Linked DNA regions of Xenopus tropicalis. The protein of the gene in region 1 interacts with the protein of each later gene in a pairwise test. Links are inferred from orthologs where the notes say so. Each region holds a gene or a part of one and is shown on either strand. Other genes may lie near its edges. The genes, in order: qrich1, nfix, hspb8 and pogz.

Region 1 (7,273 bases):
GCAAGCAGTTGTCCATAAATAGCAACCACCATATTGCTGGCTGAGGGTTCTTGTAGCGCCTCACATACGAAAAATGGTTTGGAGGGTTGAAGATCCTCTGTGATCTTCTGTATTCTATATTCTAAAGTCTTCACCTTTAAATCATAACCTGATTGGCTATGCTCTACCCCCCCCCCCCCCCCCCAGTTGCTTCCTAGACTGTACTGTTGTGTGTGCTTTTGTAACCTATCATGTAGAATGCCTCATTGTACACAGGCATTAACTTATTTTTCTCTTCGCATACAGTACCTGTGTGAGAATGGAAGAGTAGACGACATATTTTCTGACAACTACTACATCAAGTTTACAGAGTGGCTTCATGAGGTTCTGAAAAATTATCAGCCCAGAGTCACTCCTATTGGTAAGAACACTGAACATCACTAAATATTGTTTCTCACTGTCCTTCAGGTGCGTCACTCGTACCTCCGTTATGGCCACAATTTTGTGGGTTCGTTTCTGGGTTAAATGTGTGATAAGATGGAAATACCTGGAGATGGAGATATCTTTCCTTATTTGTTCAATTCTTTTTAGGATATGTGATCCCCAGCCATGTGACCGAGGAAATGCTTTGGGAGTGTAAGCAGCTGGGCGCCCACTCTCCTGCCACACTACTTACAACACTTATGTTTTTTAACACAAAGTAAGTAATCTGAAAATAATAAACCACTTATTAGTCAGCAGATTTTGCCAATGGAAACTTTAGACACTTTAACTTAGCGGATATTTTAATTTCCAAAGGGCAGCATTACGGTACTTATATCAATAAATATACACAACACTTCTGCATAGAGCAAAGTAGAATCCATACGTTTAAGGCACATTTGTTGAACAATAAATCTTGTAAAAAATAAAAAAATGTTGGCCTTTAACTGTGCCATAACCTTTTTGCTTGCTCAGTGAACAAAGGTAGCAAATAGGCCAACTCTCTCCTATTAGCTACTTGGCATAGAGTATTCTTAGTATCTGCTTGCCCTTTAGTGCGCAAACATCACATAGTAAGTAGTCGAGCTGATGTATGAGCTAGGGCAGCTTAGGGCACTGTCTTCAAGGAGTTTTTATGTTCTCCCCATGTCTGTGTGGGTTTTGTCCATGTACTCCAGTTTCCTCCCACACTCCAGAAACATACAGGCAGGTTATTTGGCTTCTCACTAAATTGCCCATAGTGTGTGGGAATGTGATAGGGAGCTTAGATTGTAAGCTCTGCTGGGGCAGGAACTGATGCAAATGATGTATAGTCACTGTAAAGTGCTGTGGAAATGTGTCTGCACTATATAAAAAGGATTAGGAAATAGTTATAATTCATAGTCATGTTATAAATGGCCTGTTGTAACAAATAACACTTTCTACCAACAGATATTTTCTGTTAAAAACTGTTGACCAGCACATTAAATTGGCCTTCTCCAAAGTCCTAAGGCAAACGAAGAAAAATCCTTCCAATCCAAAGGATAAGAGCACGAGCATCCGGTACCTGAAAGCACTTGGGATCCATCAAGCAGGGCAGCAAAAAGGTGACAACTATAGTTTTATTCCAGTATCAAGGTCCAAGCCTAGTAAGGACCAGCTAGTTATGTTTCAGATGGCTAATGCCTCGATGCTGAATAATATAAGCTTAAGAGGTTTAATGTAGAATGACAAAGAACCAAGTGACCAAAAGGCCTGATAATTACCCATCAGTGCATTTTTTTTTTATGGCCATATCAATTTCCATAAAATTACCTCCTCCTTTGTGCAGTAGACCTAAAGGACACTATATATAACTAAAAACTCCTGATTTACATCAGCAGAACAGACCAGGAAAGTTCACTTAGGGCTGTTTTGACATGACCCATGGTTACATTTGACACTTTGGAGGTTGGTGGCTTCTGTTGCTGTGAGCACAGGGATTCTCAAATTACTGGATCCTAAGTGATTGAGGGATTTGGGTGTTAGCCCTTGTTGGGAAGCTGCCAGGCTTTAGGTTTTAAACAGCTGTCATGTGAGGACACTGACCCTAACTGCCTGATTCAAGCACTCTTTGTAGGCACTCAGAATTGCCGAATCCATGCATCCTGAATAAAACGTGTTGTGATGTTACTTGGGGTTAGTGTGGCTTTAGCAAAGGGCAGATATCATGGAAACAATGTCAAGCACTATATATGATTTTGATGCAAAAATTATTTCCCTCAGGTTTCTCAATAACAGACGACATGTATGCAGAGCAAACAGAGAACCCAGAAAATCCATTACGATGTCCCATTAAATTGTATGACTTCTACCTCTTCAAATGGTATGTACATCTTTGTGATCTAGTAATCCTCATCCATATTCTCTAAAGCACTTCGTCCACTTTGGTACCCTTCATCTGGTTATGAATCTACTGAAGGTCTTACATGTGTTGGTGGGAATTGGTTGAAGTTCACCCAGCCTAACTTTTCAGCAGACCACAGTGGTTTATGATGATGTGCTTGCTACTAACTGGATGAAAAAGGGAGAACTGGGGCAGGGTTTAACCACTATCCCATAATACAGTGCTTCCCAAACTGTAGGGCTGGCCACCCTAGGGAAACCTGTGCAGTCACTTGGTGGCTGCTCCAGCCTTTGGCAGTGATTACTGATAACAATGTTTAAAGAGAAAGAAAAGGTTTTACCCCATTTAATGCTGTCTAATAGAGGCCCCTGCGGGTACCTCATCGCTGAAATCATTTTTTAAAAACCCACTCCTGTCTCAAGTATTGCTCTCCCGAAGAAATTGCTGAGTGTGTACGATTAGAAGAAAATGAACCCCCCGTTTAAGGGTGAAGGCACACAGAGCTATTTAGTAGCAGCTATTAATGAGCTGGAGAGAGTGCAGAGACTGCAACTAAACTGGTAAAGGGGATGGAAGATTTAAGCTATGAGGTTAGACTGTCGAGGTTGGGGTTGTTTTCTCTGGAAAAGAGGCGCTTGCGAGGGGACAGGATTACTCTGTACAGGTACATTAGAGGGGATTATAGGCATGTAATGGGGGATGTTCTTTTTTCCCATAAAAACAATCAACGCACCAGAGGTCACCCCTTTAGATTAGAGGAAAGGAGCTTCCATTTGAAGCAGCGTAGGTGGTTCCTCACGGTGAGGGCAGTGAGGTTGGGGAATGCCCTTCCTAGTGATGTGGTAATGGCAGATTCTGTTAATGCCTTTAAGAGGGGTCTGGATGAGTTCTTGAACAATCGGAATATCCAAGGCTATTGTGATACTAATATCTACAGTTAGTATTAGTGGTTGTATATATAGTTTATGTATGTGAGTGTATAGACTGGTAAGTATAGGTTGTGTGTGCTTGGTTTACTTGGATGGGTTGAACTTGATGGATTCTGGTCTTTTTTCAACCCTATGTAACTTGTCAAGGCTACTAAACACCAGAAAATCCCCTGCCATAGACAATACTGAGAATTGCCTCTGCTAAAACACACATGGAGACAATTATCAGTAAATGATCAGCATTGTCTGTTTTCGTAGCTGTTACAAGTAGCTGCTATTAGTAGCTCTGTGTGTCTTCACCCTAACCAATAGCCCTCTGCAGAGGGCACCCTCTGCTCTTTCTCCAACCATATTGGTGCCTGCAAGTCCCAGGGCCCCCTATACCGGCTGTGTAACTGCAGAGGGTTTAGTGCCTGTCATCTGTGGCTGCATCACATCATGTTTCTTCTGAAAGTCGTCACTGACCAGGAGCATGCACGATGGAGGCATAGACCATATCGGCTTCCACTAAGTATGTTCCCACTCAGCAATGTCTGCCCTCTGTAGGGGAAGGGGTTATGGTTTCTCTTGTCTCTATCTCTGTAACCTATAATTGTTCAATTTAAATGCATAAGATTATTAATGGCTTGTTGTTGTCCCTCCACTCAACAGCCCACAGAGTGTAAAAGGACGAAATGACACATTCTATTTGACGCCAGAACCAGTCGTAGCACCCAACAGTCCAATCTGGTATTCTACACAGCCAATCAGCAGAGAGCAAATGGAACAGATGCTAACCCGAATTCTGCTCATCCGAGAGATCCAGGAAGCCATTGTGGTTGCGAGTGCCAGCAACATGCACTAAATCATTCTTTCTGGGCACAGAAGTCATGTAAAAGGAAGAGAGGAAATAAAGAAACCTGTACAGACTTTTACACTATGAGAAGATGCCTACTTTTTCTGTTATTTTTATTTTATTTTTTATTGGTGTAGTTATGGAGCCCTTTTAGGCTTCTCCTGTTTAAAATAAAGTGTAAGTAAAAGCGCCCAAATGTGCATTTAAAGACAAAAAAAAATCTGCGTTCCTAAATGGCTGGAAAGCGAAACGGTTATTGTTATTTTAAACCTTTTTCCCCCCCACCCCATATCCTTTTAGCATGGTCTAGAAATATTTTATTTTATTTGGGAAAAGAAAGAAGGCATCTTAGGTTGAATGGGATGGACTGTGCAGCTGCTCACGCCATTGCCTACCACATATATGGACATTTATTCTGTATTTTCAGTTGCAGGGCCAAGCGACCCCTGGTTTTATATAACTACATATATAAAAATATTTCAGAAAAAGTCGGATTATTTCACATTAACCTGAATATATTTCTTTTTTTTTTTTTTTTTCCTGGCCCAAATTATCAAGGCCTTAAACTGCAGGCATATGAGCCTATGTAAATTTATTGTAATATAATCTTGTGTATCTGCTGCAGATATCTCCATATTTCTCCATTGTTCTTATGCTCTTTGTTTTATTAAGAATGACAAGCACGTCTTTTTAACATGCCACTGACCAGTGTGTTTTTTATTTAGAACCTAATGCCCAGCCTCACTTTCCGTGGAATGGAACTATATTTGGCAAAAACAAGAAATTTTGATAACTGAGAGAAATATTCACTAAGCCTCTTGCCGTGAACATTACATTTATAAACGCAGATATAAAGCACACCTTTGCATATGCTTTCAGCAATAGAAAGTGCCTCATCTGCCCAGTGAGTCTCTGGCTTACATGTTTTTCAAATTAAATGTTACTGTACTTTGTTCTGTCTTTAAGATGCCTGTAGACCTTGAGACCCCCTCAGACCAAACTGAGCTAATCTGATCAGTCTGTAGCCCTACAGAGACTGCATCAATGTCCTCATCTTGATATCTGGCTCCTGGTATGGATGGCAGGATCAGTGCTCGGGCCTAGCTAGCCAGGCAACCTGCACCCACCCCCATTATTCCAAGTGCTGTCACAAGGGCCTGGACTAGGGATGGGTGATGAGATACATGCCTAGCTCCCCACCACCATTGTGCCCTAGTCACGTGCCTCTCGTGCCTACCCTTAGCTCCGGCCTTGGCCAGTACTCGCCCATACAGGGACCAATAAGCTGCTGACTTGGTCTTGAGGGGCTTGAGGGGAGAAAGCAGTTTGTATTGGCTTTACTCCCACATTCTGTTCCTTAGATTCAGTGTGGGCGTATATGAAAATATTCTTTTGGGGTTGATTCCCCCTGCATTACAGGCTGTCCTTTATTATTTCTGAGGCAAACAAAGCACACTGACTGCACCTTTGGCAGGGGGCTTAGATGTAAAAACAAACAGATTCCACTGCAAGGTTTCATTTTAGTCATTGTAACTAAAAATATAGGAAGGATACATTCATAGCAAAAGTATATACTGTGGTGTCAATTAAGGTGACATCACTTCTCATTAATCTAATTATACAAATTCTCTTGTATAGTAATAGAATAATTTGGCTGATGTCCAGTAACCCACAGCAACCATTTTGGTGTTTATTTTGAACCTGCTGGGTTGCTATTGGTTACTAGAATTAAAGATTCCCCCCTTCTTGTATAGGCCCCAGCTTTAGATGCATCTGTTTTTACTTTTGTCTCATACTCCTTTAGTGTTGCTCAGACTGGGGAGGTCCCAAACCCAATTCAACACTGATTGGCTTATTCCTTCAGCTAAACCAAATTTTACAATTGTGTCAACTCTAACAAAGCTGCTTCATACACCCAATGTATTGGCCTTGGGTACAATATCGAAATTTGTGTCAAATGACTGCCCTCACAGCATATGGAGAACCATGTGCTTTAATGTAGAGTAGTGCAGTGGGCCGGGTACCAGCAGCTGCAAAAAAAAAAACCAAAAACTGTACCATGTGGGTAGGATTTTTAGATGTGGGTTGGTGGGTCTTATCTATATTTCTTTTATCTATATTCCCTGCCGACTTCCTGTTTATTGGATCCAGGATCCAGTCCCAACTTAATAGTAGAGATGTAGCCCTGTCTCACTTTCTAGCTTTAAAGGAGAAAGAAAGTCATTTTGGCATTTAATAGATTTGCCACATTAGTGCCACCTAGAACAATATATTTATTCTGCAGAAAGCATTACTATACCTGAGTAAACAACCCTAAAAGCTCCCTCTGTTTGTTTAAGATAGCAGCTGCCATTTTAGCTTGGGGGGGGTGGGGTGTGAGGGTTAGTTTTATGAATCCTTATGGGATGAGGGAGCAGGAGAGAGGAGCAAATTGGGCAGACTCCTGCCCCAAACCTGAATAAGCCCTAAAGGAGAGGAAGTCTGATACTGAAGAACATGTTTACAAAGAAGGAGACAAGAAATTCTGTGTTTCTTTTGTAAGAGGACTTTGTATTTACATAGACCTTTCTGATACAGCTTACTTAGTTTTTACCTTTCCTTCTCTAAGTATAGTGACAGTCAGACCAAAGTGTCAGTTATACCAAGTGAACTTCAAGGTCTCGGGCTAATGTCACAAGGCACAGTTTTACTGGCGGTGGGGGACAAAATAATTTAGTATGAAACCACTGAAGTGTCTGGACTAAATGGGCCGTTTCTCCTCCATCTGTGCAACAGTTGCCTTGTTCTTGTGAATAAAGCTTCAGAGTTCTCTCTGGGGTAAATCTATAGACCAATTCCCCAACTTATCTGCCTAGTGGCCCCAGTGGCCCTACCCGAAAATCGACCAGGTGTTAATTGGGCAGGTCTTCTACTGGATGGATCTCGGACCCATTTGCATCTTTCAATGATAACGGTCATTGGGAAACCACAAAATTAAAGACACTATGTATTCAATTAAGTCTCCAAAACATGTCGACCCTAAAGGCCCAGGGGCCACCCACAAATGCGGGGCTTGAAACCAGAATATAAGAAAATCATCCACATTTGGGTCGTTCCAACTTACGCCGGGGGGGTTGACTTGCTCTTTATCCAGATGTTGTCCTGCTCTGGGCAATGCCCGATGTTTGGAGCCAGGTAAGGAGT
Region 2 (8,369 bases), on another chromosome or scaffold:
CTGTGGTTGTAATTTAAAATAGCGAAACATAAATGAAGAACAGATGATATTGAAAAAAACAAAAGCAGAGAACGTAGAAATAAGGAGCTTTAGAGATAAGGTGCAATGTTTTCTTCAATGTGGATTAATGGACAGAAGAGCTGACAATCACAGAATATTTTGTATAGGGAAGTATGACTTAAACCTAGTATCGCAGGTTATATGTATATAATTTAGGTTGAGCCATTATCTAATTTAAGCAAATGATAAGGAGTGCTTCATTCTATAGAGAGAGAAATCCAGTGGTAGGAAAACAAAACGGCACTTGAGCCCCAAAACTAAAGCCCGGCATACTGACCAACATAGTGCCCAGCGTGGTTACCAGAAGGGCGGTATCTTGCAATATATCTGTTTATTGTAAACCTTCAAACACACTTTGTGGCAACCTATGTGTGAACAATCAGTGTACGCCCACTACGCTATCGCTAAAACGAAATTCACGCATGTATTATTTATTTATACAATGCAGATGCCCTACAGCAGCGCTTCCGTTTTTGTGCAGTCGCACAGACAGTTATTGCTGTTTTACACAAAAAAAAATGCTACACTTGGGGTCGTTTTCTAAAGATAACACCAATTAAGATTGGCTAATTAAGTTGCATTGTTACAGGGTATTCAATAAAGTCTGCTGACCATAAAACAAAATGCAGGTATGGGATCCCTTATCCAGAAAACCGTTACCCAGAAAGCTCCGAAGTACAGAAAGGCCAATTCCCATAAACTCCATTACAAGCAAATAAATCTATTTTTTTAAAAATTATTTCCTTTTCTCTGTAATAATAAAACAGTACTTTGTACTTGATCCCAACTAAGATATAACTAAGATATAACTAAGATATAATTAATCCTTATTGGAGGCAGAACAATCCTATTGGGTTTATTTAATATTTTAATGATTTTTAGCAGACTTAAGCTATGGAGATTCAAATTCTGGATAACAGGTCCCATACCTGTATTTGTAAAAATAAAAATATATGTATACAGCATATGAAACTACAAAAACAAGCTGCTTCCTCTGCACTATAAAAATACTGAAAACCAATCAGATAAAATAAAGGATTTTTATTTTTATCGACCCTATTTATTTTTTCTACCTATTATTTATTAAACTGCCATAAAATAAATATATTTATTTTTTTAACCTTTGCTAGACCTGGATTTATTTTTTATATGATTTAGGTTTAATTTTTGACTTTCATTTGTGTCATATAACAATTTGGATTTCGGTACAATTTGGAATATCAGATTTGCATTTATTCTGATAAAAAAAATAGAATCAGACTTGTGGAGGTTTATTTATCCAAATTTGAACTGGTGAATTTTAGCTTTTTCAATCTGAATAAACTTGAATTTTTACCAAACTCAAATGTGTGATTATTAATAAGTAAGAATGTAAAAAACACCATCAAATAAAACCATTAAAAAACTGGAATTCATATTCTACTCAACATTTGAGTGTTTTTGAACTTTTTGCACTTATTAAATATATTAAACATTGGAACATTTGAGTTTTTGAAACCATCATTTGAATTCATGAGTTTTATTTCAAAAGCAGAAATTAATTTTCGCCATCAAAGTTAAAAAAAAATATATATATATCATGAGAATCCAGTCATTTCCCATAAAAAAAATGCAAAAGCTGAGCATGTTTTATATAAATTTGTTTGCAATGAGCACTTCGATTTTTAGATTAATCCTTAATATTTTAAACACATAACTTTTTATTATTTATACATGTGTTATTAATGTATAAATAACACAAGTTATTTGAAAATATTAAAACATAAATAAGAAATACGTAATGAAAATAAAAATTACCTGCAATGGCAAAGAGTTTTCTAAGCCCTAATACTTAACCTTTTCTACTATTTTCTATTTGTTTTGATAGAAATGGATAAAAAACGTAAAAAGAAAAAAAAACAACAGGTTTTGCTCCACCTTCAGTGCGAGTTACTCACCTGTCCTGACCCCTGGCCAGAGGTGTCTGAGCAGACAAACTGAACAAACTCTTTAAGAGAGTCCTGGGTATGATGATGGTGATGATAGCGTATTGTTGGATGGGTGAAGTAAGGACTGGATTGCTGGATGATGGACGTTGAGGGGAAGTGAAGAGCAGACGCTGATGCCCGAGGGCTTCCTGAAAGTGGAGGAAGTCAGAAGTCTCAGAAATCATTACAAACAAAATGTAATGGCATTCACAAATATCCCCTTCCTGTACGACCTGGAACAGTGCACATAGTGAACCCCCTTTACTAGCATTGTACGGAGCTGCATACAATACACTGCTGTTGCAGTAGACAAAAAAAAAATACCTGCATCAAATGATTTATTGCATACTGGTACCTACATGGCATCAAGTACCTGAACAGCTCCCAAGTTAGACAGGTGGTATGAATCAGCTCCGACTGATAGCGGCCCCCGTTGAGCAGAACAAATGATGTAACCCTCTAAGCGCTTGCTTCCAGCAGTCATTTCCTTATCTATCTCCTAACACCTGCCACTTCAGCTGAACACACATCATTAAATATACATTGTTGCCCTATATATATACTATTGTGATATTGTAAGGAACAAGCAGCACCATGCATGTGATCCGGCCCTTACCTGGTCTCACTCCTGCCAGCACTGGGAGAGGGTGATGGGTGAATGCCATTCGAGAGGAACTGGTCTGTGAGGACAGAGCACTGCAGAAATCCAGCTTTCCCGGCTTTTTAAGTGACCCAGGCCCTTAAAATGAGCAGAGAGGAAAATCACAAAGTGTAAGCGCCTGTACTTTTACATCATTTTTCTATTTTGTATCCCAGTATGCCAAACGGGCACAAGCAAATGTGCTTATTTGCCATAGCCCTAAGCACTGGAAATACTGCTGCAATATACAGATTTACAGCAAGACTTACCTAAATTGTACCCAATACCCTTTTGCCTGCATACCAATAACAAGACCAGTATTTGCCAATAATGTATGAAAATGTATAGATAATTTATTTGTAGTATACAGACTGTCTGCCAACAGTCTAGTCATGAATCCCTTGAATATGATGTATATAGGGTATAATATCATTATAGCGCTGTGTTATATTAATCTGCACAGAATATGAAGAGCCCCATTACCTGTGTCTACATCATTTGGCCACACACTGGCCTGGCTGCCTCCTGCTGCAGGCGACCGACCTGTCCCCGGGTAAAAAACATCATCCACTGGACTCTCCATCTCACTGTCATCAAGAGACTTGGGGCGCTTGGTAGAACTGTAAGGTGGGAATTGAGAAGCAAATAATAACTTTGTACACTGCTAACATAGGAGCTCTACTGCATGGGTCCAATTAGCTATGGCAACCAATCAGACATTAGTTTAATTAGTACACTAGAAATTAGAAAATAAAAGCAAACATCTGAATGGCTGTCATGGGTTTTTTTTTGTGTTAGCTAATTTGCCCTACTATGTCACAATGGCAAAAGCCTCACTAACTTTCCATAGAAAAGACAATATCCATGTCCCATACCAATCTCTGTCTACGTAACTGTATCACCCTGCAGTGGGAGGGACAGACTCCATGTTCCATAGCTCCCTCCTGTCTGTGTCACTGTATCACCCTGCAGTGGGAGGGACAGACTCCATGTCCCATAGCCCCCTCCTGTCTGTGTCACTGTATCACCCTGCAGTGGGAGGGACAGACTCCATGTTCCATAGCTCCCTCCTGTCTGTGTCACTGTATCACCCTGCAGTGGGAGGGACAGACTCCATGTCCCATAGCCCCCTCCTGTCTGTGTCACTGTATAACCCTGCAGTGGGAGGGGCAGACTCCGTGTCCCATAGCTCCCTCCTGTCTGTGTCACTGTATCACCCTGCAGTGGGAGGGGCAGACTCCGTGTCCCATAGCTCCCTCCTGTCTGTGTCACTGTATCACCCTGCAGTGGGAGGGGCAGACTCCATGTCCCATAGTCCCCTCCTGTTTGTGTCGCTGTATCACCCTGCAGTGGGAGGGACAGACTCCGTGTCCCATAGCCCCCTCCTGTCTGTGTCACTGTATCACCCTGCAGTGGGAGGGACAGACTCCATGTCCCATAGCCCCCTCCTGTCTGTGTCACTGTATCACCCTGCAGTGGGAGGGGCAGACTCCGTGTCCCATAGCCCCCTCCTGTCTGTGTCACTGTATCACCCTGCAGTGGGAGGGGCAGACTCTGTGTCCCATAGCTCCCTCCTGTCTGTGTCGTGTCACTGTATCACCCTGCAGTGGGAGGGACTGACTCCATGTCCCATAGCTCCCTCCTGTCTGTGTCACTGTATCACCCTGCAGTGGGAGGGACAGACTCCATGTCACATAGCTCCCTCCTGTCAGTGTCACTGTATCACCCTGCAGTGGGAGGGGCAGACTCCGTGTCCCATAGCCCCCTCCTGTCTGTGTCACTGTATCACCCTGCAGTGGGAGGGACAGACTCCATGTCACATAGCTCCCTCCTGTCAGTGTCACTCTGCAGTGGGAGGGACAGACACCATTTCTCTAGCTACTTTTTATATGACTCAGAAGGTCTTCAATATTAACTGCTTTCCCACAATTCCCTTTGCATGAAAGTCCAAAATTGTGTATCTCAGGATCATCTGACTTACCTGCTGGAAGGAGGCGACGTTAAGGACCGCCTACCAAGTGACACCTGGTTTATATTGTAATAGCTTGGGCTCTCCAGGTCAGCCAATGAGAAGTTGGGGCCAGATGATGTGGCAACAGGTGCTAGAAAACAAAACACCCCAATGACTTGTAAGTTCCACTTTAGGTACCCTGACTTAATTCAACGGTTCCCTTTCTCTACTTTCCCTCCACACCCTACCAACTCACTCTGGGACACGCGTACAAGCTCAGTGACGTTCCACACTCCTGAGGTGACAAAGCAATCCTGAAAGGACAGGTGACCTGCAAGAAAACATAGAGGCTATAAAAGCCTAGGGGTTCCAGGGAGAGGAGAGGTAATAACAAGCTAAAGAGGAGCTTATAGGAAACTATTTCACAAATGTAATTGGGCACATTAGACCCTGCTACAATGGAACCTTGTAGCCAAAGTCCTGGTTAGAATTAAAAAACAAAATCTCAAAAGAAATAAAAGGAAGGTGGATAAAAATGGACTGAGAGGGGTTTGGAGTTAACTAAAATTTTTAATGGAGGACCTGTTAAGTTCCAAGCAATGGAAGGAGCTAGTATAGGTGGGGGTGGATGCATTTTTGGCATAAAAATGTATATAATGCCACACAAATATGATTTGCTATGACATATGACATTTATGGAAATGTGGATAATAGGGAAGACTTTTATGATGGTAGGAAGAAAAAGGGAGTGACTATATGGGAACAGGAGGGATCCTATAGTTATGGGCAGGTAAAGGAACAGAATGCATTGAAAAGGCATTGATGAGGGCAAAGTGTGTATGTTAATGGGGCTACTGGGAAAAATTGTATTGGAATGGTCATGTGAATGGGGAGCACTTCATAGAAAGAGTATGAAATGGGCAATAATAGGATGAAACTGCATGAGAAACAGTTTAAATAAAGGTTAGTATAAAGGAGCGATAGGGAAGCAGTGTATAAGGGGAAGGGGTAGTCTCGTCTGGAGGGTCTGCTCTGGGGGAACGGAGTGTAATTGGGGGGCTGCAAGACAGTGTGTTTGTATGGGGAGGAGGTGATTAGGTAGCAACAGGGAGGGACAAATAGTAAGGAGTGATATAAGTAGGAGCTGACTGGTGAAATAGTAACAGGGGGGACTGTGTGGCTTCAGAGCTGACCCACTGATGCACTACAGGAAAAATTATCAGGGGAACATACCATTTGGAGGGGGCTTTATATCCACCTCAGTCTGATTTGAAGCGTCCGACTGTCCAGAATCTGTAAAGAGAGAGAAGCGATGGAATAAAATTAGTGTTAGTCCATAATCAGCTTTAAAGTGTCATTTTAAATGTTGGTTAAAAAAGTAATTTGTGCTGACAAGTCACATGTCCATCCCGTTGCATGTACTCCATTGGCAATAACAGTCTTTCTCCTCCCAACCAGCAGCCGTTGGGCCAAATTACAAATGAATTATGTCATTAAAAATAATGATGCATTTTTACATTTGTGGCTAAAAACAATGTGGTGCAGGCAGAATGGGAGAAACCCGCAGTCCTGTCACAAGACAAGAGAAATTGTACTTTATCTGAAAAGCCAGTCACACAGGAATATAGAATTGAGCAAATATCCCTCTTTCCCCCTCTCTGCTCTGAATGAAAAACGTCATTATATCCCTCGGAGATCCCAGGTAAAGGTGTTAGTATGAGGCGCTCCATTCCGATCTGTCCATTATTATGCCAGTCCCTGGCCCCTGTGTTGCCGGCTAAGGTTAATATCATACATTAGTAGTGGCTATATTTTGCTGGCTAAAAATGATTTTTCCTTTTGAAAAGTGATAAATGTACAAGCTACCATTATTTTCTCCCACAGGAAGCCAATAAATTCCCACAGGCACCTAGAAAGCTAGTAAACTACCACAGGAATTTACGAAACTACAAACAGGAAGTTACTAAACTACCACAGGAAGTTACCAAACTACCACAGAAAGAGGATGAACTCTCAAAGGAAGTTACTAAACCCTCACCAGAAGCTACATTTCTGCTGGTGAGGGCTGTATGCCCAGTTCCCCCAGTTGTGCACCTTTGGTAGGTTGACATCTCTGGGACATGTAGTCTGTCCCTACCACTGTACGGTGAAACAGTGACACAGAAAGAAGGGAGCTATGGGACATGGAGTCTGTCCCTCCCACTGCAGGGTTCTACAGTGACACAGACAGGAGGGGGCTATGGGACATGGAGTCTGTCCCTCCCACTGCAGGGTGATACAGTGACACAGACAGAAGGGAGCTATGGGACATGGAGTCTGTCCCTCCCACTGCAGGGTGATACAGTGACACAGACAGGAGGGGGCTATGGGACATGGAGTCTGTCCTTCTCACTGCAGGGTGATACAGTGAAACAGAAAGGAGGGAGCTATGGGATATGGAGTCTGTCCCTCCCACTGCAGGGTGATACAGTGACATAGACAGGAGGGAGCTATGGGACATAGAGTCTGTCCCTCCCACTGCAGGGTGATATAGTGGCACAGACAGGAGGGAGCTATGGGACACGGAGTCTGTCCCTCCCACTGCAGGGTGATACAGTGACACAGACAGGAGGGGGCTATGGGACACAGAGTCTGCCCCTCCCACTGCAGGGTGATACAGTGACACAGACAGGAGGGGGCTATGGAACACGGAGTCTGTCCCTCCCACTTCAGGGTGATACAGTGACACAGACAGGAGGGAACTATGGGACATGGAGTCTGCCCCTCCCACTGCAGGGTGATACAGTGACACAGACAGGAGGGAGCTATGGGACATGGAGTCTGCCCCTCCCACTGCAGGGTGATACAGTGACACAGACAGGAGGGGACTATGGGACAAAGAGTCTGTCCCTCCCACTGCAGGGTGATACAGTGACACAGACAGGAGGGGGCTATGGGACATGGAGTCTGTCCCTCCCACTGCAGGGTGATACAGTGACACAGACAGGAGGGGGCTATGGGACACTGAGTCTGCCCCTCCCACTGCAGGGTGATACAGCGACACAGATAGGAGGGAGCTATGGCACACGGAGTCTGCCCCTCCCACTGCAGGGTGATACAGTGACACAGACAGGAGGGGGCTATGGGACACGGAGTCTGCCCCTCCTACTGCAGGGTGATACAGTGACACAGACAGGAGGGGGCTATGGAACACAGAGTCTGCCCCTCCCACTGCAGGGTGATACAGTGACACAGACAGGAGGGGACTATGGGACAAAGAGTCTGTCCCTCCCACTGCAGGGTGATACAGTGACACAGACAGGAGGGGGTTTTGGGACACTGAGTCTGCCCCTCCCACTGCAGGGTGATACAGTGACACAGATAGGAGGGAGCTATGGCACACGGAGTCTGCCCCTCCCACTGCAGGGTGATACAGTGACACAGACAGGACGGGGCTATGGAACACAGAGTCTGCCCCTCCCACTGCAGGGTGATACAGTGACACAGACAGGAGGGGACTATGGGACAAAGAGTCTGTCCCTCCCACTGCAGGGTGATACAGTGACACAGACAGGAGGGGGCTATGGGACATGGAGTCTGCCCCTCCCACTGCAGGGTGATACAGTGACACAGACAGGAGGGAGCTATGGGACATGGAGTCTGCCCCTCCCACTGCAGGGTGATACAGTGACACAGACAGGAGGGGGCTATGGGACACAGAGTCTGCCCCTCCCACTGCAGGGTGATACAGTGACACAGACAGGAGGGGACT
Region 3 (8,857 bases), on another chromosome or scaffold:
CCCAATAAATTTTCTCTGGTAAAAATTGGCAGACAGATAGCATTAATAATTCTCAAGTGGTTGCTGTGGTTATGGCAAAAATAGGTGATTACTAACCTACGTGTGCCATATGCACACGAATTGTTCCAGAAAATTCCCAGCATTTTCAAAGGTTCCCAGCTAATACCCCATGGGCTTTAAGCCTTGCAGAGTGTTTCTAGGCACATGTGTTACTGATATACAAAGGGGCCTATTTATGATTGCTGAAGTCTTCGAGCCTAAAAGCTCCAAGTTGCGTTAAAGCTACCAAACGTTTTTTTTTTTTTTAACAGAAGCCCGTTCAGGAAAAATAAGGAAAGTTTCCAAGGTATTCAGACCCAGAACCCCAGCGTGAGTTAGCAGATTTACCCAGGGTTTCCTTTCCTGAAGGCCTGAGCAATCATAAATAGGCCCCTTAATAAGAAGCAATTAAGCCAATTAGCAGTACAGTTTGGAGGGTTGCCACCTCTCTTGAAATAAAATAGAGGCCTATCTTTGTTTTCTATGTCCCCTATTATTAGCACTGTCCAAGTGACACCCCTAGCTGTTCCCTTTTAAAAAAAAGCCTATCCTGGCCTTCTATCCCAATATAACCCTGTACCTGCTGCCAACCCTGTTTTAGAGCTGCCATGTTTGAACAATGACATTTGCTTTCCCCTGCAAGCTAAGCATGGGAATGTGACAAGCAGGAGATATATACTGTACCGTTCACAATGGTGGGCTACAATTAGGGACAGGTACATTTATTTTTTTAAACAAAAAAGATTTTAAACCACTGGTAATTTCATTTAGAGGGGTAGGCAAGGAGCAAATAAATAGGCACCATGTGCCATGTGGATTACCCACAATAAATGAATACCCTTTCATTGAACTGTCAGGCACTGAATTTACTCGTCTGTGAATTTTGTGTTATGGGTGCGAGTTGCACTAACCATGGAAGGAGCAAGAAGTGGAAGGAATGTGGCACATTTCCACAGTTCTGTTGCCGATGGAAATTAACAGTTAAGAAGGTTGGACTAAATGCTCAGGCCTGTGTGCCTATTTATGATTGCTGAAGGCTTCGAGCCTAACAGCTCCAAATTGCATTAAAGCTACCAAACGTTTTTTGTTTTTTTTAACAGAAACCCGTTCAGGAAAAATAAGGAAAGTTTCCAAGGTATTCAGACCCAAAACCCCAGCGTGAGTTAGCAGATTTACCCAGAGTTTCCTTTCCTGAAGGCCTGAGCAATCATAAATAGGCCCCTTTATAAGAAGAGTAATTAAACCAATTAGCAGTACAGTTTGGAGGGTTGCCAAACTGTACTGTCTTATGGGTGTGAGTTGCACTAACCATGGAAGGAGCAAGAAGTAGAAGGAATGTGGCACATTTCCACAGTTCTGTTTCCAATGGAAATTAACAGCTAAGAAGGTTGGACTAAATGCTCAAAATGGCCTGTGTTCACTGCTATTTATTTATTTGTTATCATAAACTTGGTGACAACTAATTTTCAGATGACTGTCACTTTTAAAGACAGCATTTCCCAGTGGCAGTTGCCTTACAAGCAGTTGCACCTGTGCTAGTAGCAAGTACACAAGGCAGATTCTCCTCCTGTCAATGTGCACATATGTGAGCATAATTAGTGTATTATTAGCTCTGATGTTCTTAAACTTTTTTCTCTCAGCCGGCCCTTTGATATCTAACATTTATTCAAGTCCTCTAGCCCACAACACACACATATGCACATACATATATGTAAGGATCAGCCATGAGGAATGGGCCAGAATACCTGCCAGGATACCTGATAAATCCTTTCTTTATATATGGGTTTCTCTCTAAAGTTTCCTTTTATGTTCTGTTTGGTTTAATTCAATATAGTATTACCTCTTTGTTTTTCAAAGTACCTCTTACTGTATATCCCAGTCTCGCTTCCTTTCACATTGTCTAGGGTTCAGTTGGAAGGGCTAATTTGATGAACTTTGGTCTTTTTTCAACCCAACTTAACTATGTAACTATTTATTCCCTAGCCTTTTTTGTTATTTCCTTCTCTTCTTTCTTTAAGTCTTCTGCTCTCCTTCTCTGCCCATCTCCCAAAGGGCCTTTCCTTTTTTGCTATAGCAACAGAAAGATGACAGGAAGTTCAACTTTAAACCTCTTGTCAAATTGACCAATCACCATGTGGCCCAGTTGATGCACTGAGCCTGAAGGAATGAAAAGTACAAGTGTAGACACAGGGAACAGGTCATTGTTTCAGGTACTGGTGCCGCCCTATTTCTGCATGCTGTCTTATTTCCATGGCCCGCAAATTGTGAATATCTGCCTTAGCAGAAACAGTCCCCTTACTGTAGGCAGAGAGATATACATCACAGGTACATTTACCCCACATTTTATCCTTATTGACCTTCAAGTGCCCCCCTCATCAACTGCCTCACAGAGACAGCCTGACAGTTTGAGAACTACTGTGCTAGCATGATCTAGTAAATAGTGTTTTGTGCATGCTTTGCTGTAACCACATTGCATTCTGTATAAGGATATGAGTGAGTTTAAGATGTGTGTGATGAAGACTTGACAAGACATATGTCACACACTTGGAACACATAAATCCACTAGCCTGAAGCCATATTGGCTTTAACCCCCAGTGTAACATTCTGCACACTGCTAGGCTGGGGTAAAGATATTGCAAAGTCACCATCGATTGCCACCAGTTTCAGTACTGTCCAGTGCTAATAATCCACCAACGAAGTAGTGCACTTTTAGTGTACTTGATAATGTTAGCCCCCTGACAAAAAACTTTTCTTTATCATTAAAGGAATACTGTCATAGGAAAACATTTTTAAAACACATCAGTTAATAGAGCTTCTCCAGCAGAATCTGCAATCTGCATCTGCATCTGTTTTTCAGACAGATTTTTTATATTTAATTTTAAAATTTGAAATGGGGCTAGCCATATTCTTCATTTCTCAGGGTGCCACAGCCACGTGACCTGTGCTCTGATAAACTTCAGTCACACTTTACTGCTGAGCTGCAAGTTGGAGTGATATCCCTCCCTCCCAGCAGCCGATCAGCAGAACAATGGAAGGCAGCAAGATGGCAGCTCCCAGTGGATATCAGAATAGCACTCAATAGTAAGAAATCCAAGTCAGGCTTGGGACTCCTCCAGTTACATGGGAGTAGGAGAAACAATAGGTTGCCTGAAAGCAGTTCCAATGTGTAGCGCTGGCTCCTTCTGAAAGCTCAGACTCAGGCACATGGCGCCTACACACCAATAGTAGAACTAAAAAACACCTTTGTTGGTTCAAGAATAAAATTTTAAATGGTAGAGTGAATTATTTGCTATGTAAACAGTGTAATTTAGAAATAAAAACTACACTGTAAAAATCATGACAGAATCCCTTTAAATTATGTCCGAGACAGGCCTCTATCTGTAGGTGAACTACAGTTCCCTAAAATCCCTAGCAATCTGGGACTTCTGGAGCATTGCCCATACACAACCCCCAAATTAGTTAGTTGCTTTGCTGTTCTGAGGCAAATATTATCAGTATATGCAGATTATTATCTGCTTGCTATGCCTAGATGTTCTTATTAGTAATTCTATTATTTCCTTTTTTCTATTCTGTAATGCATGGATTAAATGATAGGTCAAAGCTTATGCCAGTAGTAATAAATTAACTCTGAAGTCTTTTTGTCAGACGATTAAGCTTTTAGCACACAAAACCCTATAGTTGCGCATTGGCACGAGTGCATCAGTGCCCACCTTCTGTTCCTAATTGCTTAATAGGTTCAAGTGTGCTACTGCCACCCGGAAAGTGGCATTAATTCCATGGTCCCCACTACAGGCTGTGTTAATAGGTGCAGTAGACTTGCTAAACTCCTAAAGAATCATATACATACATCTTTTTTATGCTAAGTGCCAATACTGACTCTTTCACTGCCACAATTATGCAACATTTGTGGTGGGAAATGCTGCATTGTGGGTAAAAATCTTTGCATCCTATACTTACATTTGTAAATAAACCCCAGATAAGCCTAACTAAATGATCAGTGAAGCAAAGAACATGTGTATATGTATATATTGTTACTAACCTGAAACTTCTACAAAGCCATCCTTCGTTTTAACTGTCAGCTCCTCTGGCTTGAAAGTTTGCACATTTACGCAGACCTTCCATGGCTGGCTGATATTTGCTACAGTGTTACGAGCGTCAGGATAACCCGTGTATCTGGAATTATATACGGGTGGGGGCATCCCTGATCTCACCAAGCCTGATCTTAAAGGGCCCGACCAGGCAGAAGTCAGTCTGGGCCTTGCCCAATCTGGCCAGTCCATGGTTAAATCATCTGAAAAAGGTGGAATGCCAAAATCTTCATCAAGAAGGCGAGATGACAGTCCTTGTTCTCGAAAAGGATCACGGCTTCCCCTGTGTCTGTTAGATGGGTAATGGCAGGTGAAGGGTAACTGACTGTCAGCCATTATTTTTCTTTAGCTGTGACTGGAAAATGTCAACCTGATTATGGTTATTGTAATTTCCGTACAGGCAGAATAATCTTCAGGCAGTGCAGCCTCTTGGCGAATGCTTTAATAGCAAAAAAAAATAAAAAATAACCAGAAAAAAAGAGTAGCTGTGGAATTAAATCAGTTAAAAGCAATCTAAAATCTTTCTGGATCTGAGCAGACTCATTGAAAAGAAGAGAGGTGCCTTGATCCTTTGACTCGTGTGGCTGCCAGTAAGTCTATTAAACACTGGTGCCATCAGTCGAGAAAGTTCTGTAAACTTCTGTGCTGCAGTCACTGGCTCCTATTTATATCTGCCTGTTAATGCTTGCTGCCTGTAGCTTGTCAGCTGGGTATTTGAAGCTTATGAAACACCCTACAAGAATCTGCTTTTGTAACAGCTGATGACTCCCAGAAGAGACTGGACCTATTACTAAGGGTATCCAATTTTAGACTGCCTTCTCCTGCTGACCCCTCCTTGATTCCTCTCGCGTCTTCCATCCCCCCATCGCGTCGACATTTGTATTTAGAGAAAACCACAGGCTGTGTCATTTTATACTTGTTATTAAATTAAACTCTTATAAAACAAGGTCACCCCCTCCATTGGATAAATTCCATTAAGTTGTTTCTAATGCCTTATTCATTCTGCATATTTTGTACTGTACAAATTATATTATATATAGACTTCATTTTACCTTTAACTGGTACCTTTCTGTATGGGTTAAATAACCCATACTTAACTTTTAATTTGCAGTACAAGCCTTATTTTGATGCATGCTTGGCATATATTTAGTTTTCCCCTTTAAAGGGCAAGTAAACCCTTAGGCAATTTTGGAAAATTGACATTCTTTTCCATTCTATTTCTAGAGCACCCTTTGCATGAATAGGATTTTGAGATACAGACCAATGCAGGCTGCAAAGCAGTATTTTGGCACTTTATATACACCATCTTATTGAAATGTATTTAATTAAAATTTTCTTCTCTTTGCTGCTAGAACATCCTTAACCCTCTGCTGTACTGGGAAGTTTTTAATTTGATTCTAGTTGGGGGATCTACTAGTAGCTACTTGGCAATGCTGTATTTAGGTCCAGTGCCACCCTAGACACCAGACCTAAATGAGCCCCCAGTTTGCGGAAGTGATGCCACGTGCAGCCTACACGGGATGTCATTTCCGCATCATGTACCTCTCACCCCCCCTAGCTCCATCACTGGTTTTATGCAGGAACTCTCCGGTGGCAGGTGAGTTTTTTTATTTAAATAAATCTATGATATAGACATCCAAGGGACGCCCCCAAAAGCTGCTGCTGCTCTAGGCAGAGTACCTTGGGTGCCCTGGTTTTGGATAGGATTTACTTCCATTCATATGTACTTTGCACTGATGTTAGGGATAAGGCCTGGCTTACAGTCAACATTCCAATTCTTGCCACATATGTTAAGTTGGATTGATGTCAGGGCTTGCTGCAGACCATTCAAGTTCTTCCTCTCCCATTTTAGCCAATTCATACCAATTCTGTATGGACCTCATATTATGCATAGGGTAATTATAAGGCTGAAACAGGAAAGGTCATCCTCAATCTTTTGCCACAAAATAGGGAGCATTCATATGTCAAGAACGCCATTGTATCATGTAGAGCAGTGATCCCCAACCAGTGGCTCAGGGGCAACCTGTCACTCACCAACCCCTTGGATGTTGCTCTCAGTGCCCCCAAACCAGGTAGTTGACTTGGTGCCAAGTTTTGGTTGAATAAAAACAAGATTTACTACCAAATAAAGCCCCCTGTAAGCTGATAGTGTGCATAGAGGCTGCCTAATAGCCAATCTTAGCCCTTATTTGGCTCCTCCATGAACTTTTATGATTTACATTTGACTGTGGCTCACAAGTAAGAAAGGTTGGGGACCCCTGATGTTGAGGAACCTGTGTGGCGAATGATAGTTGAGACTTAAATAGCCAATTCTAATTATTAGAATTAGGGTGTATGCACACTGCTATCCACGTAGTGTATATCTAGAGGCAGTAGTTAGCTACAACCATAAAAAGTGAGCCAGGGGTTTTTGGGATAAGTTTAACTGAAAGAATAAATCATAATCAATGTTTATTCACAAATTTCACCCCCCAGTGACTATAATCGCTTATCTTTTACCCCAGGCTGGTGCTCCTGTAAGAAGAAAAGAGCACCAGCCCAGGGTACTTGCATCTGAGTGTCTCTTTTTCGTTCTTGTGCGCAGTAGAGTGAAAAGCCAAACTTTAACAAAAAAGTCATCTTTTTCACTCTATGGCTCATGCGCCGGCCCCTGGATTCAGGAAGGAAGAGGAAACACTCGCTGCTACCCCGGGCTGGTGCCGTTTTGTTCTCACAGGAGCACCAGCCCGGGGTAAAAGGTAAGAGATTAAAGTCACTGGGGGTGCCTAACATTTGGTACCCCCCAGTGATTTTTACCTTTTCTTCTCCTTTAAGTGGAACATGCAGTAAAAACTAGCAGCATAAGGCTTCTGCAATTCTAGAAATACATTGACATTGTGTGGAAAAGCTTTCTGTATCATTTAAAGCAATACTCTGATCATTCATATAGATCCCCTGTAGGTTAATTAAAACACATTGGAGTAGACTGCCTCCATAGATTTCTTAAGGTCATAAGGTAGCCATACAGGGGCCAGTCCTCACAGGTATCCAGTCAATCAGTTACCCTTGGGCCCAATGACTGATACCATACAAAGGGCTATACACCACTTGTTCACAATTATATTATTCCAGTTGTTTGGACAGAAGGCCAAGTTGGCAGTTGGAGCAGGAGGAAGTGAAGAGCTGAAGCTCCTCTTCACTTTCCTATACACTGATGCACCATACACTAGCAGATAAGATGCATGGGCATATTAAATTATACAACATGTACAGTTTAATATTCATAGTATATGGGTGAGCCGCCATGCATATAGCGAAAATAAATTACTGTATCAGTACATGAAACACCAGCTTTAATAAGATATATACACAGAGCTAGTTTTAGTGTTTACATACAAGCTACAGCCTAGGCAAACCAATGATCCTTGAGTATGCTTCACTTAGTAAAGGAGAAATGCTTCATTATGTAGAGCCTATTGTAATTAGTGTGATATTTTTTTCTGCACCACATGCCAAGATACAAGCACCCAAATTGTAAATTAAAGTGCTCCACACATGGACCAGTGGCCATATAATGTGTATGGGTAAATGGATGGTTTCAGCCAACATGAGTCTGTACAGCTGTGCCTCTTATAGGACAGGAAAGAAGGGGAATAGGTAGTTTCCTGCAAACATATAAGCTGCTTGCGCTGATATCACACCGATGCACAGATTCCATCTTTTGAGCTGTATGGCTGTATGGTATTGTCCGAAAATATTACAAATGCATATGTGCAACAGTGTATTGCTGGTGCCACTTATTGCCTAAGTTGGAGCCACAGATCTGCAGCATCCGTAACTGGGAAAGGGCTACCCATATAGATTGCATGATAATCAGCTCACCTAAATATTTTTTCTTTTTTTATTTCTGTGCAGCCATGGCTCTGGAATCCATCCTCAGCTAATTTCAAGTGATATTCCTTGTATTCAACTTCTATCCCGCTTCTATGTTTAAACACCCATCTAGGCCACCTTTTTTGCCTACTGCAAAAGTATAGTGTAGTGTAGTATAGTATACATAGTATAAGGCTAAGGGGCTGATTTACTTACCCACGAACGGGTCGAAATGAGTCCGATTGCGTTTTTTTCATAATGATCGGTATTTTGCGATTTTTTCGTATTTGTTGCGATTTTTTCGGATTCTTTACGAATTTTTCGTTACCAATACGATTTTTGCATAAAAACGCGAGTTTTTCGTAGCCATTACGAAAGTTGTGTAAAAAGTTGCGCTTTTTTCGTAGCGTTAAAACTTACGCGAAAAGTTGCGCATTTTTCGTAGCGTTAAAACTTAAAAGGTGCAAAGTTTCGCGTAAGTTTTAACGCTACGAAAAAAAGCGCAACTGTTTGCGCAAGTTTTAACGCTACGAAAAATCGCCAGATTTTACGCAACTTTCGTAATGGCTACGAAAAACTCGCGTTTTTACGCAAAAATCGTATTGGTAACGAAAAATTCGTAAAGAATCCGAAAAAATCGCAAAACATACGAAAAAGTCGCAAAATGTTCGTTTTCAAGTCGGAACTTTTCCAATTCGGGTTGGATTCGTGGGTTAGTAAATCAGCCCCTAAGTATAGTATTAAAATACATAGTAACATAGGTTGACAAAAGAAACTTGTCCATTAACTTCAACCTGCCTAACTGCTAGTTGATACTTTTAGTATGCTTTTTAATTAGCCATTTTGGAGGCAGAAAGGGTGTTTTTCCTTGTTCTGAT
Region 4 (8,369 bases), on another chromosome or scaffold:
CCCCTTGGTGCTCCCTGTGCATTATGGGATATTCATGATTTCTGTCTCTCATAGGTCAGACGCCAATTGTGCAGTCGAGCGGGCAGCCCCTTATACTGACCCAGAATGCTGGCGCTGGCCTGGGCACGATGGTCCCTCAGCCGATGCTGCGCCCAATGCAAGTCATGCAGAACGCCAACCACGCCAGCAACTCATCCGTGGCCACCCAGCCCATCTTCATCACTACCCAGGTAAGGGCAAATATGGCGGCTGTGGTACCTACTGACATCCAGTCTACCATTTCCTGTTTATGGGCGGGACCCTGCCCTGGGCGGGGCTCACTCAGCAAATCGGCACAGTTCTTTAACATGCATTAATGGCTTATTGGTTTGTTGCAGGGTTTCCCGGTGCGGAACGTGAGGCCGGTGCAGAACGCCATGAACACCATGAATCAGGTGGGGATAGTGCTGAACGTGCAGCAGGGCCAGACTGTCAGACCCATCACTATCGTGCCAGGTAAGTCCGAATTGGACCCCAGTCTGTCACCTGGATCAGTCCGCTCATTAGCGGAAGCCATGTTTATCCAGCTTTCCTTGGTCTGTATCCTGTCCCTTTCTCTCTCCGCCCCCAGCGCCAGGCACCCAGTTCATGAAGCCAGGTGTGGGGGTACCGCAGGTCTTTACCCAAGTGACCCAATCTTTCCATGATTCTGGTTCTGTATCCTGTCCCTTTCTCTCTCCGCCCCCAGCGCCAGGCACCCAGTTCATGAAGCCAGGTGTGGGGGTACCGCAGGTCTTTTCCCAAGTGACCCAGGTCAGACCGGCGCCTTCTGTTCCAGTGCGGCCAGCCACCAACACCTTCACCACCGTCATCCCGGCCACCCTGACCATCCGAAGCACAGTACCCCAGTCTAACGCACAACCCAACAAGCCCACGGCAAGCATGGCCACTACCTCTGCACCCAGCCAGCCCATCCGACAGATTGCCATGCAGCCTCAACAGACCCAGATCCTGGCAACCAATCAGAACAGCCAGAGCACGAGCTCCAACCTTGGTAAGCTTGGTAAGCTGGGTCTCTCCTGTCCTTCCCCAACTTGGTACCAGTGACTGTGGGAGAGTGAATAGTTACATATGGGTCGGTTCCCCCTAGGCCCAAACTGTACTAATGGCAGTGAGGTGTTTATGGGTCAGTCCCCCCTAGGCCCAAACTGTACTAATGGCAGTGACGTGTTTATGGGTCGGTTCCCCCTAGGCCCAAACTGTACTAATGGCACCGACGTGTTTATGGGTCAGTCCCCCCTAGGCCCAAACTGTACTAATGGCAGTGACGTTTTTATGGGTCAGTCCCCCCTAGGCCCAAACTGTACTAATGGCAGTGAGGTGTTTATGGGTCGGTCCCCCCTAGGCCCAAACTGTACTAATGGCAGTGACGTGTTTATGGGTCAGTCCCCCCTAGGCCCAAACTGTACTAATGGCAGTGACGTGTTTATGGGTCGGTTCCCCCTAGGCCCAAACTGTACTAATGGCAGTGACGTGTTTATGGGTCAGTCCCCCCTAGGCCCAAACTGTACTAATGGTACCGACGTGTTTATGGGTCAGTCCCCCCTAGGCCCAAACTGTACTAATGGCACCGACGTGTTTATGGGTCAGTCCCCCCTAGGCCCAAACTGTACTAATGGCACCGACGTGTTTATGGGTCAGTCCCCCCTAGGCCCAAACTGTACTAATGGTACCGACGTGTTTATGGGTCGGTCCCCCCTAGGCCCAAACTTTACTAATGGTACCGACGTGTTTATGGGTCAGTCCCCCCTAGGCCCAAACTGTACTAATGGCAGTGACGTGTTTATGGGTCAGTCCCCCCTAGGCCCAAACTGTACTAATGGCACCGACGTGTTTATGGGTCAGTCCCCCCTAGGCCCAAACTGTACTAATGGTACCGACGTGTTTATGGGTCGGTCCCCCCTAGGCCCAAACTTTACTAATGGTACCGACGTGTTTATGGGTCGGTCTTTTGTACAATGGTCGCCCACTGACCAGTTTAACCCATGCTTTCCCAGTGAGTATTGCCAACCTGGTGGCTGTCAATAAGACCGGGGAGCCCAACGACCTGGTGAAGTTCGTGAATGCGGTGAGCGGCAATCAGAGTGCGGTTCTGAACTCCAGCCAGATTGTCCTGCCCAGCACCACCAGCAGCAGTACCAGTAACAGCAGCAGCACCGTGCAGAGGATCCTGCCCCCCGAGCCATCGGGAATGAAATGTAAGAAGCTCACCCTTTTACTTTCTGGGTTCTGCTCAAACATTGGGCCCGGATATAATGTCCCATCACCGTTCCCCCCCCCCCGTCCATATGTACTCACTGGTATCTCCTCTCACCTCTCAGGTACCGCTGCCTCCGTATCCTCCGCCGACTCCTCCGACAGCAACAGGAAGTTCTGCCCAAGGTGCCGTGCTCAGTTCCGTGTGACGGAGGCGCTCAGAGGCCATATGTGTGTAAGTCCCCCTCCCTCCTCCTCCTCCGATGAGAGTACAGGTATAGGACCCGTTATCCAGAATGCTCTGGACCAAGGGTATTCTGGATAAGGGATCTTTCCGTAATTTGGATCTCCATACCTTAAGTCTACTAAAAAATCAATAAAACATGAATTAAACCCAACAGGATTGTTTTGCATCCAGTAAGGATTCATTATATCTTAGTTGGGATCAAGTACAGGTACTGTTTTATTATTACAGAGAAAAGGGAATCATTTAACCATTAAATAAACCCAATAGGGCTGTTCTGCCCCAATAAGGGGTAATTATATCTTAGTTGGGATCAAGTACAGGTACTGTTTTATTATTACAGAGAAAAGGGAATCATTTAACCATGAAATAAACCCAATAGGGCTGTTCTGCCCCAATAAGGGGTAATTATATCTTAGTTGGGATCAAGTACAGGTACTGTTTTATTATTACAGAGAAAAGGGAATCATTTAACCATTAAATAAACCCAATAGGGCTGTTCTGCCCCAATAAGGGGTAATTATATCTTAGTTGGGATCAAGTACAGGTACTGTTTTTTTATTACAGAGAAAAGGGAATCATTTAACCATGAAATAAACCCAATAGGGCTGTTCTGCCCCCAATAAGGGGTAATTAAATAAATCTTAGTTGGGATCCATTACAAGATACTGTTTTATTAATACAGAGAAAAAGGAAATTAGTTTTAAAATTCTGAATAATTTTGATTAAATTGGGTCTATGTGAGACGGCTTTCCGTAATTTGTATATTTCTGGATAACGGGTTTACGGATAAGGGATCCCATCCCGGTAATACTGGTGCTTTATGGTGCAGATAACAGGAAGCTATAGAGGGGCAGTATTAGAGGCTCTCACCTTTATGGGATGGAGGGAAGCCCTGCAATAGGAACATAACTGTACATTGTGTGTGCGTCTCCATTAGCACAATATAGAGGGAAATTGAGAGTATATAATGGGAAGCCTTGGTGGGAAGGGTTTGGGGGATCGGCGGAGGCTCTCACCTGTGCTTATAACTCACTTTCCACTTACACGACCTCCATTTTACAGTACTGCTGCCCAGACCTTCTGGATTTCTCTAATAAGAGCAAGGAATCGGAGCTGCCCTCACAGACCACCCAAGCGATCTGCACTGACAAAATTATATCGGCAGCCACTCCCTCATCCACCACTCCTTCCACAACGGCGCCCCCCGCGGGCAAGGGGCAGGAATCTTCTCAGGAGGAAGGCATGCAGGGCAAGCTCATCATGCTGGTGGATGACTTCTACTACGGGCGGGATGTTGGGAACACCTACCAGATGCAGTCCTATCCCAAAGTGGCCACGACGTTCCGCTGCCCGCACTGTACCAAGAGGCTAAAAAATAATATACGGTAAGGGTTTGTCCTGCTCCTCTGGGTCCCTGGGGTAAAGGGGAAATAGTTAAACTCTATTGGATGTAGGGCATTGGCTTAGATAGGGGTGCCATACTGCTTAGTTGGCCCACAAGTTGGAATTGAGCTGATAACCTGGGTACCATTTGGGGCAGGGTTTTGGTATCTAAGTAGTATGATGCCCAGGGGTTTTTGCTAGTGGTTTACTCCTCAGTGGGTGTCTGTGCCATGCAACCCCAGATCTAGGGGTGTAACCTGTTACCCATAACTCCTTGCTTCCTTTAGGTTCATGAACCACATGAAACATCACGTGGAGTTGGACCAACAGAACGGTGAGGTGGACGGGCACACCACGTGCCAACACTGCTACAGGCAGTTCTCCACCCCCTTCCAGCTGCAGTGCCACCTGGAAAACGTGCACAGCTCGTACGAATCCACAAGTAGGTGCCACACACAGGGGGAGGAGCGATTTAGGCCCAAGGGCCCCTGGGCTGGCTTTGATAGGAGAGTTGGCCCTGCTAAGCATTATCATCCGCAGACATTCTGCCTATAGCATAGGAACATAGGATTGGGGCTGGTACAAAATTTGCCACAATGGCGCCTACCCACTGGCTCTGATTGTGACCTCCTAGAATGAAGGGAAGAAGATTTATAGAATTCTGTAGTGTAATTAACAGTTACTTTGGCCAACTAGCGCAGTAGATCTGGTTCAGAATTCGGCCAAGATTCTGCCGATTCAGCCGAATCCATGGTCCTGGCTGAATCTGAATCCTTAATCGTGACTTTTTGTCACATAAACACAGAAGTAGAAAACTTTTTTTTGTTCTTTTTTTGTTTTACCCTTCAAGTTAACGTAATTTGCATATGCAAATTGGGATTCAGTTTTGTAATCGGCCGAATCTTTCACAAAGGATTTGAGGTTCGGCCGGATCCCAAAATAGTGGGACCTTCTGTGATTCATTCATGTGATTGGACGACACAGGGATTACTTTGTCCCTTATTAGCTGCTGGGGGCGGGCGTAGTAAAAAAAAGAGTGGGTAGCAATATTCGATGAGAATGATGGGGAATGATGGGAAATTATGGGAGTGGGGGGCAGGGCTTGACGTGTAAGGGTGAAGACAAACATCGAGTTGTCGCAGCGACTTTTTCCTATTGGATATTTTTCTTAGTAAATGTTATACATTCAGGGGGGAAAAAAGGTTTAGTTTTACAGTTTTAGTGAATGTTGCCCCTAATGGTCGCTGTTGCCCCTAATGGTCGCTGTTGCCCTGGCAGCCAAGTGCAAGATCTGCGAGTGGGCGTTTGACAGCGAGCCCCTATTCCTGCAGCACATGAAGGACACGCACAAACCCGGCGAGATGCCCTACGTGTGCCAGGTAAGGGCAGTTGTCTCTCTTCTCTGCCCCTTCCCCCCCCCCCCCCCAACCCCCCCCCCCCCCCCCCCCCCCCCCCCCCCCCCGCTCGGCTCACTTCCCTATCCTCCATTTCTCGCGGGCAGGTCTGCCAGTACCGATCCTCCATTTACGCCGAGGTGGACACGCATTTCCGGCTGAACCACGAGGACACGCGCTACCTGATGTGCGTCTATTGCCTGAAGGTGTTTAAGAACGGAAACGCCTTCCAGCAGCACTTCATGCGCCACCAGGTCAGTCCCTTTTCTGTTTCCCATCAGCCCTCTGGGGGCGAGTTTTTAAATCCCTGTTGAGTTTAATGGCGCCTGTATCACCGCCTGTTTTCTTTCTCTCGGCACGCGCCTCGCCCCCCCACCGTGGAACCCGCAGAAGAGCGTCTATCACTGCAACAAGTGCCGCCTACAGTTCCTCTTCGCAAAGGACAAGATCGAGCACAAACTGCAGCATCACAAAACCTTCCGTAAGCCCAGGCAGCTGGAGGGGCTCAAACCCGGGACAAAGGTAAGGGGGTGCTGTTTGGGGTGGGGGGGGTGATATAGGGAAGAAATTGATTGGCTGTAAGGGACAGTGTAATGGAACCTGGCCTGCTGTATTGCCCAGGGATAGTATAATGCAGGGGTCCTCAAACTTCTGACCCAAGGGGCCGGATCAAGGGCCCCTCAGACTGTTGGGGGGGCTGGACCACCATCACCAGCAGCCACCGCCGGGGGGGGGGATGCTGGTGAATTAGCCCACATTCTCTTTCACATCACGCCCACCACCGCCTCCATCAAACCAGACTGTTGTCTTCACCTCCCAACTCGTCCCCCCCAGCGCTACGGTAAGTCCTACCTGTACCAGTTCCCCCTGGAGTCCGTCCTCCATCTCAGCTCCCTGCTGAGTCCTCTCTCTCCACTTCCAGGTGGGAGGACGCAGTGGGGGGCCGGATCCAATCCGTGGGCCGTAGTTTGGGGACCGCTGGTATAATGCCTGACCCTTCCCTGTGCATCCCCCCCCACCCACTTCCTCTCATTCTCCGTCCCAATAGGTTACAATCCGGGCATCGAGGGCACCGTCACGGTCCCTTCCTGTATCGTCGGCAGACACCACGTCGATGCCCTTAGTGGACATGGACACGGACTCGCTGGCCGACTCGCTGTATTCCATGCAGTACAAGCGCACGGTGAAGAAGACGTCTGAGAATCTCTCCAACATCCACACCAAAAGGTGACTGTGCCCCCCACTAGGTGCCCGACTTGTGCCCTCGGACCTTGGGCACTGGTGTACATTACAGTTGTAAGAGAGAGAATCTATGTAGGGGGGCATTAAATGATGTGCAAAACTAAAATGCACCCCTAGTGATGGGGGATGGAGTGCACTTAGAGCAGAGGTGGGCAAACTATAGCCTACCATCTCGTGCCCCCTTAAAAGAATTACAGCCCCTGATTGGTTGCGCCCCGTGCATGCGCATGACATCAGCACACACGGGGCGCAATCATATAAAAGGATGCAGCCGGAGGAGGGAGGGAGCCGCAGGTAGCTGGGGGAAGAGGGAGAGATGGCGGATGCTGGTGGGAGGACGCTGGGATGGAGGATGCTGGGGGTGGAGCTGGAGGATGCTGGGTGGGGAGCTGAGAGGCCCTGTAATTTGTGACACTGGCCTGGCCTGGCGGTAAGTCAATGTGACCCCTGAGCCAAAAAGTTTGCCCACCCCTGACTTAGAGTATAGATTTTGGGGAGTCACAGAACCTCATCTCATTTATTATTCCTTTCACTTTCTCATCATTTTTGTTGTTGCCCCCAGACCACCCTATGGCAGGCAGTCGTGCCTGGAGTGCAGCTTGGACATCACTGACTTCCAGAACCACTTCCCCACCTACGTGCACTGCTCCCTGTGCCGCTATAGTACCTGCTGTTCCCGGGCGTACGCCAACCACATGATCAAGTAAGTACCCTCCAGCTGGCCAGTTTGTAAAGGGATTCATGGGTGGGTATTGTGTATATACTGTGCCAGTGACACTGGTTGGGTCAGACAGACCCGGTATTGTGTATATACTGTGCCAGTGACACCGGTTGGGTCAGAGAGACCCGGTACTGTGTATATACTGTGCCAGTGACACCGGTTGGGTCAGGCAGACCTGGTATTGTGTATATACTGTGCCAGTGACACCGGTTGGGTCAGGCAGACCTGGTATTGTGTATATACTGTGCCAGTGACACCGGTTGGGTCAGACAGACCCGGTATTGTGTATATACTGTGCCAGTGACACCGGTTGGGTCAGGCAGACCTGCTATTGTGTATATACTGTGCCAGTGACACCGGTTGGGTCAGGCAGACCTGCTATTGTGTATATACTGTGCCAGTGACACCGGTTGGGTCAGACAGACCCGGTATTGTGTATATACTGTGCCAGTGACACCGGTTGGGTCAGACAGACCCGGTACTGTGTATATACTGTGCCAGTGACACCGGTTGGGTCAGACAGACCTGCTATTGTTTATATACTGTGCCAGTGACACCGGTTGGGTCAGACAGACCCGGTATTGTGTATATACTGTGCCAGTGACACCGGTTGGGTCAGACAGACCCGGTACTGTGTATATACTGTGCCAGTGACACCGGTTGGGTCAGACAGACCTGCTATTGTTTATATACTGTGCCAGTGACACCGGTTGGGTCAGACAGACCCGGTACTGTGTATATACTGTGCCAGTGACACCGGTTGGGTCAGACAGACCTGCTATTGTTTATATACTGTGCCAGTGACACCGGTTGGGTCAGACAGACCCGGTATTGTGTATATACTGTGCCAGTGACACCGGTTGGGTCAGACAGACCCGGTACTGTGTATATACTGTGCCAGTGACACCGGTTGGGTCAGAGAGACCCGGTACTGTGTATATACTATGCCAGTGACGCCGGTACTGTGTATATACTGTGCCAGTGACCCATTTGCCCTTTTGTTTTCCAGTAACCACGTGCCGAGGAAAAGCCCCAAATACCTGGCCCTCTTTAAAAGCTGCAAACCCAGGTCAGTGCCGTGAGTGAGGGGAAGGTGTGGGACGGCCGTGGCCGCGACTCTCTTTGACCATCTTCTCTCCATTTCTTC

The links.
Region 2: the proteins of qrich1 (region 1) and nfix interact in binary tests that used the Homo sapiens proteins (3 or more experiments, as listed by UniProt). The two-hybrid records come from large-scale screens. The link is inferred for Xenopus tropicalis from reciprocal best matches to the Homo sapiens genes QRICH1 and NFIX.
Region 3: the proteins of qrich1 (region 1) and hspb8 interact in binary tests that used the Homo sapiens proteins (3 or more experiments, as listed by UniProt). The two-hybrid records come from large-scale screens. The link is inferred for Xenopus tropicalis from reciprocal best matches to the Homo sapiens genes QRICH1 and HSPB8.
Region 4: the proteins of qrich1 (region 1) and pogz interact in binary tests that used the Homo sapiens proteins (3 or more experiments, as listed by UniProt). The two-hybrid records come from large-scale screens. The link is inferred for Xenopus tropicalis from reciprocal best matches to the Homo sapiens genes QRICH1 and POGZ.

The regions. Positions count from the first base shown.
Region 1 is NC_030680.2:136,783,081-136,790,353, reverse strand, and holds the end of qrich1 (glutamine-rich protein 1), read left to right. Parts: intron 1-285; coding exon 286-400; intron 401-570; coding exon 571-679; intron 680-1,392; coding exon 1,393-1,547; intron 1,548-2,205; coding exon 2,206-2,305; intron 2,306-3,906; coding exon 3,907-4,099; 3' UTR 4,100-4,788; downstream 4,789-7,273. UniProt on the Homo sapiens protein: Transcriptional regulator that acts as a mediator of the integrated stress response (ISR) through transcriptional control of protein homeostasis under conditions of ER stress.
Region 2 is NC_030679.2:139,501,410-139,509,778, forward strand, and holds part of nfix (nuclear factor 1 X-type), read right to left. Parts: intron 5,912-8,369; coding exon 5,852-5,911; intron 4,950-5,851; coding exon 4,875-4,949; intron 4,770-4,874; coding exon 4,649-4,769; intron 3,288-4,648; coding exon 3,151-3,287; intron 2,767-3,150; coding exon 2,644-2,766; intron 2,177-2,643; coding exon 1,998-2,176; intron 1-1,997.
Region 3 is NC_030677.2:165,803,521-165,812,377, reverse strand, and holds the start of hspb8 (heat shock protein beta-8), read right to left. Parts: upstream 4,707-8,857; 5' UTR 4,464-4,706; coding exon 4,079-4,463; intron 1-4,078. UniProt on the Homo sapiens protein: Involved in the chaperone-assisted selective autophagy (CASA), a crucial process for protein quality control, particularly in mechanical strained cells and tissues such as muscle. Displays temperature-dependent chaperone activity.
Region 4 is NC_030684.2:144,801,274-144,809,642, forward strand, and holds part of pogz (pogo transposable element with ZNF domain), read left to right. Parts: intron 1-54; coding exon 55-230; intron 231-377; coding exon 378-495; intron 496-610; coding exon of another isoform or gene 611-654; intron 655-727; coding exon 728-1,042; intron 1,043-2,036; coding exon 2,037-2,237; intron 2,238-2,360; coding exon 2,361-2,470; intron 2,471-3,544; coding exon 3,545-3,867; intron 3,868-4,152; coding exon 4,153-4,307; intron 4,308-5,143; coding exon 5,144-5,244; intron 5,245-5,366; coding exon 5,367-5,513; intron 5,514-5,649; coding exon 5,650-5,781; intron 5,782-6,307; coding exon 6,308-6,486; intron 6,487-7,063; coding exon 7,064-7,204; intron 7,205-8,231; coding exon 8,232-8,291; intron 8,292-8,369. UniProt on the Homo sapiens protein: Plays a role in mitotic cell cycle progression and is involved in kinetochore assembly and mitotic sister chromatid cohesion.